Linked DNA regions of Zea mays. The main gene of each other region encodes a partner of the protein of the gene in region 3 in a complex. Links are inferred from orthologs where the notes say so. Each region holds a gene or a part of one and is shown on either strand. Other genes may lie near its edges.

What was found.
Region 1: photosynthetic NDH subunit of lumenal location 1, chloroplastic (region 3) and Photosynthetic NDH subunit of subcomplex B 5, chloroplastic-like share a complex: the UniProt entries of both Arabidopsis thaliana proteins name them as parts of the chloroplast NDH complex. The link is inferred for Zea mays from reciprocal best matches to the Arabidopsis thaliana genes PnsL1 and PnsB5.
Region 2: photosynthetic NDH subunit of lumenal location 1, chloroplastic (region 3) and oxygen evolving enhancer protein 3 containing protein share a complex: the UniProt entries of both Arabidopsis thaliana proteins name them as parts of the chloroplast NDH complex. The link is inferred for Zea mays from reciprocal best matches to the Arabidopsis thaliana genes PnsL1 and PnsL3.
Region 4: photosynthetic NDH subunit of lumenal location 1, chloroplastic (region 3) and NAD(P)H-quinone oxidoreductase subunit T, chloroplastic share a complex: the UniProt entries of both Arabidopsis thaliana proteins name them as parts of the chloroplast NDH complex. The link is inferred for Zea mays from reciprocal best matches to the Arabidopsis thaliana genes PnsL1 and NdhT.
Region 5: photosynthetic NDH subunit of lumenal location 1, chloroplastic (region 3) and Photosynthetic NDH subunit of lumenal location 4, chloroplastic share a complex: the UniProt entries of both Arabidopsis thaliana proteins name them as parts of the chloroplast NDH complex. The link is inferred for Zea mays from reciprocal best matches to the Arabidopsis thaliana genes PnsL1 and PnsL4.

The regions. Positions count from the first base shown.
Region 1 is NC_050098.1:158,250,006-158,253,670, forward strand, and holds Photosynthetic NDH subunit of subcomplex B 5, chloroplastic-like, read right to left. Parts: upstream 2,084-3,665; 5' UTR 2,041-2,083; coding exon 1,771-2,040; intron 1,554-1,770; coding exon 1,499-1,553; intron 1,339-1,498; coding exon 1,270-1,338; intron 1,180-1,269; coding exon 1,121-1,179; intron 905-1,120; coding exon 668-904; 3' UTR 514-667; downstream 1-513. Other genes in the region: putative transmembrane protein kinase family protein, read left to right, coding at 1-50. UniProt on the Arabidopsis thaliana protein: NDH shuttles electrons from NAD(P)H:plastoquinone, via FMN and iron-sulfur (Fe-S) centers, to quinones in the photosynthetic chain and possibly in a chloroplast respiratory chain.
Region 2 is NC_050102.1:1,245,600-1,248,551, reverse strand, and holds oxygen evolving enhancer protein 3 containing protein, read right to left. Parts: upstream 1,519-2,952; 5' UTR 1,422-1,518; coding exon 1,115-1,421; intron 1,028-1,114; coding exon 639-1,027; 3' UTR 531-638; downstream 1-530. Other genes in the region: kinesin-related protein11, read left to right, coding at 23-184; vegetative cell wall protein gp1, read left to right, coding at 1,751-2,353. UniProt on the Arabidopsis thaliana protein: NDH shuttles electrons from NAD(P)H:plastoquinone, via FMN and iron-sulfur (Fe-S) centers, to quinones in the photosynthetic chain and possibly in a chloroplast respiratory chain.
Region 3 is NC_050096.1:42,029,651-42,033,491, reverse strand, and holds photosynthetic NDH subunit of lumenal location 1, chloroplastic, read right to left. Parts: upstream 2,598-3,841; 5' UTR 2,414-2,597; coding exon 2,372-2,413; intron 2,293-2,371; coding exon 2,172-2,292; intron 2,076-2,171; coding exon 1,989-2,075; intron 1,866-1,988; coding exon 1,792-1,865; intron 1,704-1,791; coding exon 1,581-1,703; intron 1,388-1,580; coding exon 1,316-1,387; intron 1,179-1,315; coding exon 1,082-1,178; intron 982-1,081; coding exon 872-981; 3' UTR 575-871; downstream 1-574. Other genes in the region: ABC transporter B family member 20, read left to right, coding at 1-412. UniProt on the Arabidopsis thaliana protein: NDH shuttles electrons from NAD(P)H:plastoquinone, via FMN and iron-sulfur (Fe-S) centers, to quinones in the photosynthetic chain and possibly in a chloroplast respiratory chain.
Region 4 is NC_050099.1:14,035,944-14,039,004, forward strand, and holds NAD(P)H-quinone oxidoreductase subunit T, chloroplastic, read left to right. Parts: upstream 1-1,239; 5' UTR 1,240-1,350; coding exon 1,351-1,691; intron 1,692-1,847; coding exon 1,848-2,268; 3' UTR 2,269-2,498; downstream 2,499-3,061. Other genes in the region: Pyruvate kinase 1, cytosolic, read right to left, coding at 2,680-2,835, 2,925-2,981. UniProt on the Arabidopsis thaliana protein: NDH shuttles electrons from NAD(P)H:plastoquinone, via FMN and iron-sulfur (Fe-S) centers, to quinones in the photosynthetic chain and possibly in a chloroplast respiratory chain.
Region 5 is NC_050100.1:216,381,272-216,384,792, reverse strand, and holds Photosynthetic NDH subunit of lumenal location 4, chloroplastic, read right to left. Parts: upstream 2,233-3,521; 5' UTR 2,214-2,232; coding exon 1,824-2,213; intron 1,628-1,823; coding exon 1,535-1,627; intron 1,433-1,534; coding exon 1,372-1,432; intron 1,265-1,371; coding exon 1,196-1,264; intron 1,074-1,195; coding exon 1,006-1,073; 3' UTR 961-1,005; intron 883-960; exon of another isoform or gene 841-882; 3' UTR 566-840; downstream 1-565. UniProt on the Arabidopsis thaliana protein: NDH shuttles electrons from NAD(P)H:plastoquinone, via FMN and iron-sulfur (Fe-S) centers, to quinones in the photosynthetic chain and possibly in a chloroplast respiratory chain.

The DNA.
Region 1 (3,665 bases), on a different chromosome or scaffold from region 3:
GTACCCCAACCGTGACTCTAGGCAGTCAGCTCTTCAGAACATCCAGGTGAAACAAACATCAGTGGGATGTGTAGTCTAGAAGAAAAGCTAGTTCTCTCCTCCTCAGGGCAGTAGACCAGCCTTGTTCTCTTTCGGAATTCGGGAAAAAAAAGAAGAGCCCGTCTTCATAGCGAGCCAGCTGCATCCCAAGTGTAAAAAAAAAAGAGAGGAAACAGCTGCGAGGCTTACCCTTTTTTTCTCCCCAGTTTTGTTACCCTGATGGTTCCTTCCTAATTCTCCCTTTTCTGCACATGTTTTTAGGGGAATTAATGACATTTTCCTTTTGTTGAATAATAATAAGAATGGGTGGGTGGTGGCAAACCAGCGGCTCTTGATTGTTCAGCGCATCAGTCTTGCATGTGTTTTTTTTTCTCTTCCCTTCAAAGTATTGGAGAAAACATGAAAACAAAGGCAATTCATGCAGAAAGTTGAAGCAACAGTCTGCAGAACATGTCGTGTATTATATGGCACGAGGATAGAACAGATTTTCAGGCTCTCCAGTCTTACAGGAAGGATGGCTTTCCTTTTTATTCAAGAGATTTTCCTAGCAGCTACAGCTTCCTTTCACAGGGTTTTTTTTGCTGTGAGGCAACAATCTGAAGGGCAGCGAGCGGTGTACGCAATGCATCTAGGTCGACTTGACGATGTCGTCCCTGGTGTTGACGGTGAAGTCCCAGAGCTCGCCGTACTTCTCGTTGAAGTCCCAGATGTCCATGGAGTTGTAGTCGGCGATGAGCTTGTCGCGGGCCGACCTCTCCATCATGTAGATCTCCGGCTCGAAGTTGTGCGGCTTGTCGGGCTTGCCCATCTCGATGACGCAGAACACCACGATGAAGACGGCCGCCCCGATGTACAGGTACTCCCCCTGGCGACACAAGCAGACGCGTCTCCGATCCGATCAGTAGATGCAGGTGACGAGTTTTTTTTTTTTTTTTTTTTGGGGCACAAATGCTTGGAGCGCAGGAATTTCACAGGAAACAATTCACTTTCCCGACAGAAAGCACAATTCACTTCCGACCAGGAAACTTCGTGTTCCAAACAGGGGACTAGGTACTGGGAGGAGGAAGTGCTGGATCCTTACCGGCACATTGAAAGCCATGCCGAGGATGATCGCAGGAGGAAATGCCCAGGAGATGAGTGCTGCAAGAGATCGCCGCCATTGATGCAGTGCAACAAATGAGCAAGGCAGAAGCATAAAGATCTGAAAGAGCTACACAGTAGTGGTAGTACCTTGAAAGCCCTGAGGAGGCTCAGCTTCTTGGTACCACTCGGAGACATCCTCCCAGAAGCCCTTCTTGTCTTGGGAAGAAAAGCGGGGGGTGTTGCGGTTGTTTGCAGGTTTTTGTTTCACCACAGCACAAAACAATCAGTGGACTATTATTTCTTTTTCTTTTTGCAATGAAGGATATCATATCATGAACAATGGAGTTCTTATTTTTTTCTGGGAGGATAGTAATACCTTGGCCTTCGAAATAGGTGTGGTGTCCGTCATACTTCCCGTACTCGAAGTCCTCCTGCAAGACAAGACAAGACAAGACAGATCCTCTCCAGTGTCATCCACGAACGAACGAACGAAACGTACTCCGTTCTTCAGAGCTCTCGTTCATAGCACAACCTACGTCAAGGTTCACTGCTTTCCTGCGTGTTCCTAGTCTAACTAACTAAGCGCGGAACGACAACCGAGAAGAGAAGAGAAGAAAAGGAAGGAAACGAGGGACGACGACGACGGACCGGGCTGATGCCGTTGGTGCGGTACACGTCGATGGCGTCCTCCTCCAGGTCCGGCTCGATCTCCGACAGCGGCCCAGGCCCGGCCCTCACCACCACCGCGCCGCCGCCCGGCCTCCTCCCGACACTCGAACGCCGGCGGCCGGCGTGCAGCAGCTGTGGCCGCGCCGCCGCCTTCACCCTCAGCTGCTGCGGCGCTGCGTCATGGCGGCGCCGAGCGGTGCTGGGCGCTGCAGATGGCGAGGCAGAGATGCCGGAGGACAGGCTGCTCATTATCTCGCCGCGGTGCTGCGATCGCTGCTGAGTGGTGACTGGTGAGTGCTCCAGCCCCCGCTGCTGGCTGCTGCTGCACTTCACGTTGCGGCCAAGAGACAAAAAAGCAAGCGGATAATGGTGCGCTGGAGTTGGACACCTACCGTCCAGGATTTTTCCGCTGTCTTTTCCTGTCCCTTTTTTCGTTTCTGGAAATAATCAGCTCATAAAAACTCGGTACGATTCTGTGGAACTGAACACCTACGGACGTCCCACAGTAACCCCTCCCCCCGCCAAAAAAAATCGTGATTCTGTGCGCTATATTTGTAAGAAACTGTCGCATGTGCTTTGGTCAACGGACACCAACAAAACAAGTGAGAACTCACTCTTTGTAGGATTATCTGTAACCCTGTCCTTTAAATTTTTCCATGTATATGGAGTGGTTCTTTCTAAATTCTCTCATACACTACACAACGATTTTTTTATAGCGACCTATGGTTGGTTGCTAGAACGTCTTCATCAACCTAGGGTTTAGGGTTTAGATATACACAGTTAATTAGTAGTACAATGGTGCTATGTTTACAAATAAATATACAGTACTAATTTGCATGTAAAGCTCTAACTGAATTCTTACCAAGCATCAATGGACACTAGAACATTTGGCGGCCTTGGGGTGCCCTCGAGATTGCGATGTCACAAGAAGACCCGCACATGACATTGTTACAGATCAGATCCTTAAGCCTAGTAATCAACAAACCAGTTTCTTAAATTAGTATTATACAAAAAAAATGCAATTGCTCCCAGTTCTTTTGGTATCAAGACAACATAGTCCCCCATCTTCATAGTAAGAGAAAAAAAGGCTAGCATCACTGCATCAATAAACTGCCCATGCATTTTTTTTTACTGTAATCGAACGATGAGTAAAGCTCTGACATCACCAGTACTCTACTCGTGAACGCCTCGAAGCCCTGCCTCTGTCCTTACCAGTTGGCGGAGAGTCAATGTGACTCAACTTCAGTCTGGAAGGTGAAAATAAAGCAACAAGACACAAATAAAATGAAATCACGTTGCTGCACTGAAAATACAGAGATGATTTCGTGCATAATCTCTCATACCGAACGTAGCAGAGCTGTCGTGGTACTCAACGGGTGGAGTAGCAGAGCTGTCGTGCTGTGGCATGCTGTTGGCGAAGACGAGAAGAACCAGACAACAACTCTGTGCGGATGGATAGCGGATGAACAACAACACTCCACATTTACCGGTCGTCGAGCTGCCGCTATATTTTAGCGGACCATTTGCCGGTTCTTGCTGGAGCGATAGCGGACACCGAGAAACGCTAAATATAGCATACCGAACGCTTTAGCGCCCCTTGTTGGAGACAGCCTAACACTACCAAGCCTCTCGATTAGAAATGGTAACAGATAAAGACCTGCCGGGTTTTGCTACCCCAGACTCGGTTCCGTCAAACTAAAAACTCGCCACTCTAATACCCCTACTTGTGCACGGATACAATTTCACACTCATACACGTACTCGTGTGGGTATTTTTTATCCGATGAGTACCCATACTCAATAAGGAAAAATGCACAAATATAACAAATATTAATAATACTATCTCTGTATTTTATTTGTCGCCTGTTAGTTCAA
Region 2 (2,952 bases), on a different chromosome or scaffold from region 3:
ACTGATGCTTTTGGCAACACAGCCGTGTCTCGGAGGGGACTCGAAGACACTGATGTTTGTGAATCTGTCTCCTGAAGCGTCCTCGACAGGGGAGTCTCTTTGCTCATTGCGGTTTGCTGCAAGGGTGAACTCCTGTGAGATCGGGATCCCCAGGCGCCAAACCCAGATGCGGAGCTCACAATGATGAAATACGGCGGAAGCGAGCTGCCAGTGTAATGCTTGTGTGTGTGTTGATTTGGTGATGCAACCGATCATTTGCATCCCCTTGTCTGGAGGTGGTGTGAGTTGCCAATTTTATTTGGTTTGTGGCCTTGTTGATTGCGCTAACGGCTGGCAGCGGTGGGTGTGCTGGCCTATTATATTAATCTTAGGACCTGATCTGATTTGTATGTTGGGATGTGTTGCCATTTTCAATTTTTTTGCTTTCATTCGTAGTCTTGATTTGTCGTTTGCCCAATGCCCAATGCCTCTGAGCTGAGCTGGGCGTGTATGTAAACAACTGTGTACCCGTTGTCGGACACGCACACAGCCTGACATGATAATTGTATTTCCCTGCTCTGGGAATTCTGCAATACCCCTTGTGAGTTTCAAGTATTCATTTACACATCATGATATATGAATGAAAAATTGTGGTTCTGCTAGGCCATCTTGGCCATGAGCTCCTGGAGGATGAGCTTTGTCTCGGCGTAGCGGTCGCCGATCCTGGCGTCGTCCTTGGCTGTGACGGCCTCCTGGAGCGTCTCGAAGCTGTCGAAGAGGCGGTTGGCGAGGTCGACGAAGGGCGGCTTGTCTTCGGCGGCGGAGATGAGCTTGTCGAAGTCGTAGTACATGAAGGTGGACTTGAGGCGGAGGTACTTGTTGACGTAGTTGGAGGCGTCCTTGCCCAGCAGGTCCTCCAGCGCCAGCAGGTCGAAGGCCGTGCTGCGCAGCCGGTACGCGTGCGCCGCGAAGCTGGGCCCGATGTCCGCCATGTAGATGCCGTTCTTGAGGAAGGAGCGCGTGCCCGTCTCCGCGTTGTTGATCTCCTCTGCCATGCCACTCATCGCCGACACAATTGTCAGTGAACCAAGTAAAGTTAAGTGGTGGATGGAGCAGGACGGACGGGACGGCTTACTGTTGACGATCTTGGGCACGGGCAAGGGGAACTCGGTCAGCCACCAGCCGTTGTTGGCCGGCTCGTCGTCGGTTTCGGCGGCGGAGGCGGCACGTGGGCGGAGCAGGACGGCGCACGCGATGCCGAGGAGGCAGGCTGACCTCCTGGACGGGGACGACGGCTGCTGGGAGGAGGCGGCGGCTTGGCACGTCACGTGCAGCGTCGGTCGGCTCGGCCGGAGTAGACGGAGGCTGCCACCGGAGAAGGCATGGCGGCAGCTTGCAGTCGTCGTGGTGGCTGCCGGCGGTGCGTTGAGATAAGTGGCCATGGGGACGGAGAGACGAGTGGATAGCGCGGGCGGGGCGGCACTCGCTAACGCATGAGATCGTAGCCGATAGAAATATCAGAAAAAAGTAAAAGGAAGAAAGCGGCTGCTGGCCGTTCCGACATCCTTCCGTTCCTGATGAGGTTTGCAGTTGAAGATGAATTTGGCCTGGCCTGTAATTTTTGGTACGATTCAAATCTGGATCACTCCTCCACTACTGAGTACTCACTCACTCCCTCAGCCACCACCGCCCCACCAGCCATCAACCACCACCAAACCAAGGAAGGCCACGAGACACAGGCACACAGGACGAGCAGCCAGAGCCGCCAGCCATGCGGGGCGGCTGCTACGTGGGCAAGGCCACCAAGATCTTCCTCGCCCTCCTGGCCGCCCTCGCCGTCGTCGGCGTCGTCCTCGCCTTCCGCGCCGTCCTCCACCGCGCCGCCAAGTCCAGCCCCGCCTCCGCATCGTCCGCGTGCGCCGCCGCCGACGCGTGCCAGCCCGTCCTGCCCGACACGGACCCCGCATACCGCTCGCCCGCCACGGCCGCCCGCCCGCCGCCCACGCCCACGCCCGCGCAAGATCCCGCCTTTCCCTCCCCGGACGCCGCCGCCTGGCCGCCGCCGCCCTCACGGCCGACGGCTGTGCCCGACACCCCTCTGTCGCCGCCGCCGCCGCCGGTGCCCGTGCTCCAACCTCCCGAGCAGCAGCTGCCCGCGCCGGCATTCCAGTCACCGCCGCCGCCGGTGCCCGTGCTCCCACCTCCCGAGCAGCAGCTGCCCCCGCCGGCATTCCCGTCACCACCGCCGCCGCTGGCGGAGATCGCGTCGCCACCGCCGCCGGACCAGCTGCTGCCGTCACCTCCACCACCTGCGTTGCCGTCGCCTGATGCGCCGCCGCCCGCCCCAGAGGCGCCCAGCCCAACGGCGTCTTGACTCAATCGTAGTCGTAGATGCCGACTGCTTCAGTCTCAGAGCAGGGCAATAGCTGTGGATTTGGTAGAGGAGTTTAGCCGCCGCCGTCTGCTGATGTACTGTTTCTTCAGTTTATCCTATAATTAATCCATCTCTAATTCAGGTGCAATTTTGTTGAATTCTTCAGTGTCGCCGCCGTCAGGATCCCACAGAATCAGCCTGCGCGCGCGCGCGTTTCTCTTGTCAAAAATTAAAAAATAAAACAAAAAAACCTAATCTCTGCTGTTCTCTTTACAGTTTGTTGTACTGTGCAGAATCTGCATTCTTTCCTAAGAATTCTCTAGCGTTTCGCGGCGAAATTCAGTGTGTAGCAGTACTAGGAATCACTGCCCTTTCACCTCTGCATGTCGGCTGGATTAACATGAATTGACCATGGACTTGCTGTTGACCACCTTGGGCCGTTGGAGAGAGATTCCCCAGCTCCTGCAGCGGCTCCACAGATCTACCCTCCACTCTGCATCTATCGAGCCGAGCACAAGACAGCGGTGCTTCTCTCTAAACGTGAATACAATTGCATTAAGGCTATCTACAGGTTTCTCATTTTAAACTTCACTATTTTA
Region 3 (3,841 bases):
GATAGCAAATGCCCATCATTTCATCAGCAGCTTGCCACATGGATACGACACCCATGTGGGAATGAGAGGGGTTGATCTGACACCTGGACAGAAGCAACGGATTGCCATCGCTAGGGTGGTTTTGAAGAACGCACCTATATTGCTGTTGGACGAGGCCAGCTCTGCGATCGAGTCTGAATCGAGTAGAGTGGTGCAAGAAGCTCTAGACACTCTGGTCATGGGTAACAAGACAACGATTCTCATTGCGCACAGGGCGGCAATGATGAAGCATGTTGATAACATCGTCGTCTTGAATGGCGGTAGGATAGTTGAGCAGGGCACACATGACTCTCTGATGGACCAGAACGGTCTATATGTTAGATTGATGCAACCCCATTTTGGCAAGGGCCTTCGCCAGCATCGGCTAATGTAATTATTCTTTTGAGTTTGTTTAGGTGTAAATTATCCTAGGGGATGATCAGGTTTCCTTGTGCGGCCACTCAGTCAGGGGCCCTTTTCGGCACATGAAAAATGCTGGGAGTTGCCGCCCTGTTGCTGTTCCGAGTAAGCCGACCTGGTCTTCTTGACAAAAAAATAAAAAAAATAGCTTGCAGATCCAAGTAATTCTGGAAATAGTTAGCAAGTTTGGAGGGCATTGTAATTGTTGTAATATATGAGCTGAAACATTCTTTCAGAGGCTCGTGCTTGTGGTGTCTCTCGCCTCTGTAATATTAGTGTTGCACCGACATGTTCACGGAGCGTGTAATTTTGGGAGCCACGAACCGACAGCAATGCAACCACATTCCCCCCCCCCCCCCCCCCCCCCCCCCCCCCATCTTTCGCTAAACAAGTTGCCGCACCATGCTCATGAGGCCGTCACAGAAGCAAGCGATCACGCCGTCAGGTCCGAGATCTTGAAGGAGTCCGCGACGACTTTGAGCCTGTTCCGCAGCCTGCTCCACCGGCGCTCGTTCGCGGTCACGATCAGCGTGTAGTACCGACCTAGTTAGAGCAAAAAACAAACAAACAAACAGAGTTTCATCTCTCTCTATTTCAACGCGAAGCGAAACACATGAACGTTTCCCGTTCATAGGTATCATACCGTTTCCAATGGCGACCGTCGCAAACGCAGAAACGCCGTAGCCCGGAGCCTCCAGATCGTACTCAAACGTCCAGTAGTTCTTGCCGTCCACGGTGCGCTGCAAAAATAGTAGGATAGGCCGCTTATTTCACTAGCACCATTTTTTTTATTTTTTTGCTCAGAGTTATCCAACTAGATTTGGCAACTCCAAACAAATGATAATTGCATGCATAAAGCGATGAACAGATGACAGACCTCTTGCATGTCGTAGATCGACGGTATTTGGTTCGGGGCAGCGTAGACGTTGTTTACCAGGTTGAAGATGGCCTGGTGTAATGTGGAAAAAAAAACATATTCATCACATCAGCAAAAGTGATTATCAGAGCTAAAACGTATATAATTTAAACGGAGGAGAGAGTATGTGTTTTATCTTTTGTGCCTAATCAAAGTGAAGAACACATAGTTTTTCCATAAAAAAGAAGAAGAATACATAGTCGAAAGAAGGAAACAAAACCCCCACCTCATCCATCGGTCCTAGGTCGCGGATGTCTGTTTTCTCGGTAGGAATGAACCCCACACGAACACACTGAAGGGCCAGGTTGCGGTCTTTGAACGCAGAATCATGACCCAAGAAGTCGAAATCCTATCCAGGGACAAGGGAACGAAGGCACCATGAAAATCACCCTACAGTTCTTAACTGTTCAAGAATCGATCGCATGGCGCCAACCTACCCTCCATTCAGCTGGATAAAGGTACGAGTACCCGTCTTTCGCGTCCACGTACGACTTGTAATTCTTCGGCACCTCTGAACAGCTCCGATCAGTGTCAAACAGGTAAGAAACGCAAAAAAAACGCTGCTCGAGGACACCGTCCTAGTCCGATCCTGATAGATACAATGCCAGGCCATCTATATAGGGATGATCGTTACCTTCAGCGAACGCAGCAGAGCTTGTCCTCAGTAGGCCAGTGGCTAACGCTCCAGCACCAAGCAAAGCTAGCCGTCTCTTCGTGACCTCTATACAAGCGGAGAGATGTTATGAACCAGGATTCTGTCGACCACTAGATGCATGAACGGAAAAAAAACAACAACAACAACAAAAGGGGGGGTTACTGGTGTCGTCCAAAGATCCTTGGATCGAGCTCGCCGCCACAGCTGAGGGAGGAGCCCTGTTCAGTTTGGTAGTCGCCGCGCAATTTGGCACAGCCAGCTGGAAACAAGCAACGGGTTCAAGCTGTTATTACTCCTCAGAACTGCAGGGAAAGTAAATGAATTCCAGAAAAAAACAGTGAGGAAGGGGCTTGAGCACGTACTTGTTTGGATACGGAGCAGACCAGGTTCTGCAGGCTCGCCATTTCGGCTTCAGTTGTTCAGGGTAGCGCTGAGCTCGAGGGAGAGTTCTGTGAAGCTTGTTACCCCCATCGTCAGTTATCCATAGCTGCTGGACACGCTCGAGCTCACTTTTCCACTATCGAGTGGGTGGTGGAACCGTGGAAGGGCTCGCTTTTCCCCTATCGAGTGTGTGGGTGGAAGCCAAGGCAGCCAAGTCAGCATGCTCATTATCCTCTCATTTCAGCACTCTTGCTTCTTTGTCTTGGACAGAGCACTGGCTGACAAAAATGGGCGTCCCTCTCAACAGGCAAACAGCCCTTCTGGTGGGTAGGTCGTTGATGACCCAAGACGAACTGTTCTGAATACAGTGATTTTTATGCCAAAAAAACAAAATTTCCAGGTTACATAATTTCATGACACCATGATAAGCGATATACAACAACGGCCACAATTATTCAATGCTAGTAAGCCTGTTGCATAATGCAGCTAGGTTTATTTGTTTTTTTCCTTAGTTGATTTATTAGTTTTTTCTTAGCTAATTGATAGTTGATCAATTAGTTCCCTTTTTTAACTAATTGATAGTTGTTTGTTAGTTTCCTTTCTTAACTAATTGGTTGATTTTTCCTTAGTTAATTGATAGTTAATTAAATAGTTTCAATAGTGTTTGAATGAGAGTCACGTACGAACGAGGTAAACACCAGAGTAGTTTTTGGTGGCGGCGTGATGCTAAAAAATCGAGGGGCGCCTCATCCCATGTTGACCTTAAACCAAACACAGTAAAAGACACTAGGCGCCATTCAAATCCACAACACATCAATAATCTTATAAGTTTTACCGAGCAAGCACTAACATGGCACCGGCCTAGGATTTAGGCAGCATGGCCATGGCCCGTGGCAGGACGTGCTGCAGCTTGAGCTGATGATTTATTACTTCCTTTCACTGCAAGGCCTTTTGCTCGCCAAACTATGACCATAAGTGCCGGAGCCGGAGCCGGAGCTTCTCCCCTGGCTTGAGTCTGCGGTGGCCGGAACCGGAACGACATCCTGCGGCGATTCTGCGACGTCCACCAAGAACATGTCAGGGTCGAAATGCTCCTGGCTCGAGCTCGAGGAAGCGAAGCCAAGCAGCGACGGCTGAACGGCGCAGGTGTCCAGAGACGAGTCGATGCTCCTGTGGCCGAAGCCGCTGGACGACGCAACGCAGTAGTAGCCAGTTCCCGCACGGGCACGCTGCCCCCGCGGCCCGAACGCGGCAGGAGCGAGTGCCTGGGCCTGGGCCTGGGCCTGGGCCTGGATGTGCTCGTAGCCGGTGGCGGCGAACGCGTCAGGCCGCGCGACTCTGGAGCACGATGCTCCGGGAACCGCCGCCTTCATCCGGGCGTTCCTTGCCTGGAGGTCCGCGAGCAGCATCCTCGCCTGGTTCCTGGCCTCGTCCCTTTCTTGCATCCTCCT
Region 4 (3,061 bases), on a different chromosome or scaffold from region 3:
GCCAGGATATCACAATCCACCCCCCTTAGAAGACCGACGTCCTCGTCGGTCAACCCCAATCCAGGAACCTCCCCTCTTGGCCACGTCTGTATGTCTAGTGTCGTCATATGCCATGCCATGTGACCACTCCGGGCCCAGATGCGCCATGCGCCATATACCCGAACCCCCTAGCCCACACACGCCCGTGAAACCGCGAGGGTCGGCTCTGATACCACTTGTAACACCCCGTCCAATCCCTGGACCGGCGGTACTTACTCCTGGCAGCTCTCTAGGATCATATATTGTCCCCACATACCAACACAAGTCTTTTGTGCGCACTTTGTCCTCACTCATGCGCACCCGAGAAAACTTCCCGGTCGGTCACCCATCCCAAATTGCTCCAAGCCAAGCACGCTTAACTTGGAGGTTCTTTCAAGATATGCTTCCGAAAAAGAATATGCACCTTGTTGGTATGATTACACTATTAATTCTATTAAGCCTTGGGCCAGGACATCCCATCCCAGGGGCCAGGATATCACAATTTGTTCGGTTATTTTCAATCTATAGATTGGAAGAGATTGATACGTATTGAGAGAGATTTTGACTTACTAAGGATTGAAACCCTTTAATCACCTTCAATTTATATGGATTGGCATAGAAGGGAAGACCCCTCTCCCTCCCTTTCAACTACACTAGTTACCAATGGCACAAATCTCGTAGCATCTGCAGTGGCTACCAATGGCACAAATCATGTCTTGTATCGGGCGACAAAACCGCTAGTCACAAGAGTGCTGAGGCCAAAGCTGAGAGACTGGAGACGGCAGTAACGAAGATCCAAGCATTGTTGCCGTTTCAAGAAGACCTCTCCCTGATGATACCGTGGAACGCAAACCTGATGCGCGTTATCATGGGAGGCGACACCCAAAATCCTGAATTACAAAAACATTATTAATTTAATCACAGTTAAAAATTACAACAAGGGGATGTAGCTCAAATGGTAGAGCGCTCGCTTTGCATGCGAGAGGTACGGGGTTCGATCCCCCGCATCTCCAAACTGTTTTTTACCCCCCTTGTTTTATTTTTTTTACCTCTTCTCCCTCATTGTCACTTGGTCAGTACTCAGTACTACTCAGGATAACTGTGCGGACGAATTCGATTGCGTACCGTCTAAACTGACAGCGCAAGTGTTCGTGCGGCGGGAAAATTTCTGCAGTTTCATTTCTCGTTCGGAATATGGTTACCGTTCCTTTTTCTTTTTGTACATGTGGCCATTGGCTAAGTGAACAGCGACACCTCATCGCCTCGCCCTCCTACCACGACAACTGGAACGTGCGAGCCTCATCACCTCCCGACTCCCCTCCACGCCTTGGAATGCTGCCTGCGCAGACGCTAACACACACGTTTCCCATGGCAGCGTCCACGGCCTCGCGCATCTTCACGCCCTTCCTCCACCGGCACCAGCGGCGCACGAAGGCAGTCGTGGTCGCAGCCGCGAGCCCGCCCGACGCCGAACCGACTCCTGCGACGGCGGACGGTGCAGGGCCGGGGAAGAAGAAGACGGTGGACACCAGGATACACTGGTCCAACCCCGACGAAGGGTGGGTAGGAGGCAAGGCCAAGAAGGAAGGCGACGGCCGCGGCAGCAGCAAGAACGAGCCGTTGGGAGGGAGGTTCGCGGACCTCATCAACAACGCGGCCGAGTCTCACTACCAGTTGAGTTCATCTCCAATCCATGCTCATATGTCCTTTTGGATTGCCGTCCAGCTGTACATAAATTTGTAGAGCTCTGTTCGAGACACTGTCATCATCATGTCAATACTTTGTTACTAACGGCGACACATGACTGAACTGCAAAATCTATCACCCAGGTTCCTTGGCATAGCGCCAGAGGCGGACATCGAGGAGATCAAGACGGCGTACCGGCGGCTGTCCAAGGAGTACCACCCGGACACGACGACGCTGCCGCTCAAGGTGGCGTCGCAGAAGTTCATCCGCCTGCGAGAGGTGTACAACGTGCTGAGCAAGGAGGAGACACGGCGGTTCTACGACTGGACACTGGCGCAGGAGGCCGAGAGCCGCCGCCTGCAGCAGCTCAGGTCCAGGCTCGAGGACCCATACGAGCAGGACATCATCAACTACAAACCCGTGCCAGACATGGTTGACCGCCTCGGCGGCAAGAACATGAAGCTTAGCGATCAGGCCATGACTGCGCTCACCATCGATATCGTTATCATCATCATCTCCATCTGCTGCATCATCTATGCTGTTTTCTTCAAGGAGCAGTACTGACAGCAGCATACCAGCAACAGCAGCAAGGTTGCAGGAGTGTACCATAGACAGAACATTATAGGTAAATTAACTGATAATGCCCTAAGATTGTCTTTTGGGATGTTATCATGCACTGCATCATGTAATGTCCAATAGAATAAGGTAGGAACGACGATTATTCATGGTTTGTTGCCAACAATCCTATATTTGCATAATCAAATCATAATTCCAGTATAAATCTGTGACATCATAATTTATTGCGTCAAATCAAAAGACAATCTGAAAAGAGGGCAAAATTCCCTAACAAGATATCTTGTGCTCTTGCTGTACTCTACTTGGAACTTGGTTAAATAAGTGAGATGGAACTGGAGGTAATCTCCCATGCGATACATGAAACTACAGCATGGGTTGTAGGTATCAATCATCTAATGCCTAACCTTCACACTCAATGATCTTGACAACAGAAGAATCACCAATCTTTTCAAAGATTATCAACCTGTCGAAAGGCTTCACTATGCCAACCGACCGACCATAGCTCATCGCAAGTTTTATCCCATACTCTTCCTTTGTTAGCCCACCAGTTTCGGCCTATTACAGAGTTTTAAGCATTCATGGTTAGCCATATGTTTTTTTACATGTAACTCTAATGTTAGGGAAAAATACAATTGCTTACATACCTCATCAGTACTCCCCATCAAAGGGTACACGCCTCTCACTGCGAAACATTGTCTTGCCTGAAAGTGGTTTAATAATGGTTACACATTCGAGTTTGCTGGTCCTGCTTCACGACAACCAGAAAACTAAGGAAGCATGA
Region 5 (3,521 bases), on a different chromosome or scaffold from region 3:
AAATGCTGTTTTTATTTTTTAGAAAAAAACCCATTATTTTTAGGCAAGCCAGAGCTCTATCAAACAGGCCCGAGGAAACAGCTCTCGGCGCTCCCAGGAACCACCAATGACATAGAGCCAAAGAGGTGAGGTCAAATTGCACTGGAACTTTTTTTAGTACCTATAACCCAAGCCCAACCATCCCAGTGATGTGACAGTGATACTCTCTCACAAGCAAAATAGTTTCCCGATCCCGATGTGGCGCTCCAACGGCTAATGCGGCTTGGTCCTATCTTACGCTTTCGCTTCTGCAAATCTACGTCTTCACAACCCATGGAAATGGTGCCAGTGGTTTAGCTTCGCCTTTGTTGCTTCAGCAGCCTCCCCAATTCAGGCAGACAGCAGAGGCGGGCACCGTCTGAACCGGTCGATGAGAATTTTTGCTCCAAGCTACTACGGGCACACATGTGTCAGGCACGAGCGCGAGACCTCTCTGCACATCCGAATCGTGAGTGTTTAGTCGGCATGATTGATCGAATGCTGAAGGGTTTGACGCCATTCGCCAGTCACGCTGACAGTCTGACTGACACAAACAAATTCACGATTCCGTATCGGCTGTGCAAGCAAAGCTGGTGGCGCATGTGACATACACCTCCGATAACTTGCTCGCTTTGGCTGTATCAAACTGCTATATAGTCAACAATATGATTGGTCTTTACAAAGTTCCACAATGGCGTTATTACGTAACAAGGATGGTTTATATATATCATCATTTTATTCAATCCAGGTAGCTCTCTGGAGTACAGAAGCTTCTGCAAGTGGCTCTGCCTCTGCAGGTGCTTTCACCGCCAAGAATTCCTCCTGAAACCCTCCATGTGTGACACACGAAAACGATCGGTTACTCTGGAAAGAAGGACGTGAGTCACAGAAAACCAGGCGAGTTCAGAATAACGCTGTGCACGGCACACATATCAGACAGACCTTGTCTCTGCTCTTAGGTTCTGAACATTCCCTGTCATCGAGGGCTCACTTGTAGATCCCGACGAGGAAAAGGTCATATAGAAGTGTGGAGTTTCCGGGGATGTTGCAGTCTCCTGTCAAAAAAAGAAAAACAAAAGAAAAAACTAGAGAAGCAGTCTCCTTGACAATTCTAGAGCGAGAGCAGTTTGCTTATCTATGGTGTACGAAGTCATTTAGCGCAGTTCTGAAAATCGACCTGAGAAGCAGCCTGCCGGTTCAGGCCCGTACGCCAGTGACGCAGGTATCATCAGCTTGCGCTTTCCACCTGAGGCAGGTTTGCAACGGAGTCATCAGTCATGGAACAGCAAGCCAAATTAGCAAAGCCTCTATATTTAATGCACAGCTAAAAACTGCTCAAGTTCCTGTCCGTACCAACAAGCATGGGCGGCACACCGCCGCCGCCACTGATCCCCTGTTCAAGCCCTCGGAGGATCTGCACGCGGAGAACGCGAAAGAAACAGACCATCATTTTTTACTGGCATGAAAACTGAACGTCGTTTTCAGTGAGCGACAATGGATGCTTATACATGCACACCTTGCCTGCGCCTATGCGCATCGTCAGTGGCCTCCCGCGCTTGTAGCTGCTGTCGAACAGCGTACCGTCGGGAAATCTCGCGGTGTAGTGCACCTGATGACCATCGAGAGGACGAATATAATTAGGATCCGAAGCAAGCAGCACACAGAACGCAGAACAGGATGGCGGCATATGTTGCTGAGTTACTCGTGCAGAAGGGAAATGGACCACTGTACTATTACAGAGTAGGTTAAGTCAGAGGAAGGCGCAAGGCATGCAGGAAAGAAGAGACGGTGGTCTCGGTACTGACATTGATGAGCTCGCCGCGCGGGGGCTGGACGCCGGTGCCGACCTCGACGTCGCAGTACGCGAGGCCGGACTTGACGAGGCTCAGGTCGCACATCTTGTCCCCGACCGTCGCGTAGTACTCGATGCGCGTGGCGCCGGCGTCGCCCGCCGGGGACAGCAGCGCGGCCGAGGCCAGGAACCCGGCGCCCAGCGCCAGCAGCCCCCTCCTGCCCGCCGACGCCGACGCCGCCACCGGATGAGGAGTCGAGGAAGTGGACGGCGACGAGGACGACGCGGAGCCGCAGGGCGCGACGGAGAGCGCTCTGCCGCTGGTCTTCGGGAGCGGCGGCGGCGGCGTCGGGATTGGGCTGGACGCCATCAGAGACGACAGGGACGTGATGGGTGGCGCCATGGCTGCTTGTGGAGTGTGGATTATTATCCCCAGACTGTGGCTGCAAGGCGCGCAGGCTCGGGTCTTTATAATGACGCCCCGAAATTCGTCGCGCGGAGGCAGCATGGGCTCTGGATGTTTCAGCCGGCCACTGCAGCAGCAGGCCCGTGGTTTTACCGGGCCGAGCCGCAAGTTTCGGGACAGTCTACAGCCCACGTAGTTTTCTTATTTTAATCATTTTCTAAATCAATTTCTAAAAATTAACATCAGAGTAATTTTGTTTCTAAAACCAACCCGTATGACCGTGTAAATCTCCCTGCCGCGGACAAATACGCTGATATGCGACCCCGTTTGACGTGGCAGGTCGTGATCGATGACATGGCAAGTGTTGTCTGTTTTGATTGGATACATTTCAATGCACTTCAACCCCCTCTTCCAAGAGTATCTAAACTAGGCCTAAAATGCTTGATGGTCAAAGGTTTTCTCTCAATAAAACGGGATTAGTTTACACCATAAGAATATCGAGGTGACCTTTATAAGTCGCAAAACTACTTTTGTGAAGGATAATGATGGGTTCCGGTCAAAATGCAAGCAAGTTATGTACTAATGCAAGCAAGTTATGTACTTATAGCAGTACTGCAAGAACAAGAATAAAGGTACACCTTCTATTAAATTTGATTCTTATTATTTACTTGCAAAGTATACTATGGTATAAAGACAAAATTTATTAGAATATCTCTAATAGCTTATCCATCTTCATCTCCGTATTCAAATTTCACTCCACAGATAGTGCAATCTACTGTGCATAACAGTGTTTTGGATAACCATGTGAGTAACTGCTAGACACGATCTTAGTGCATCTATTATTGTTCCAAAGAGGAAGATAATATGGATTGCCAAAAGTCTAGTAACTATTTAGAAGAACAAACAAGTTTGGGTATTAAAAAACTTTTTTTAGATAAATTATAAGGCTCAAGAAAGATATTTAGGATTTGACAGTGGATACACACACTCGTCACCATCCTATAATTTACGTCGCTAGCTGCGGCCACCAGCATCTTTTTTTTTTCCTCACGTTTTGATGATATAACGACACAACGCAATACAAAAAGTGAACCACTTTGCCTAATGCCAACCAAAAGTACAATATAGGACCTGGTTAAGATAACAGCTGATGGGAAAAATCTACACCAATTTTTTTGGGGGTGCAGCTTTCAGCTGTCAGGTGCAATCATCTTTTAATCTCGGCACCGTAGAAGTGAAAATTTCGGAGTACCTTCTCTCCCATGTTTTTTTTCAACTGCATGTATAGTAGTCGGCTGCCTAGTC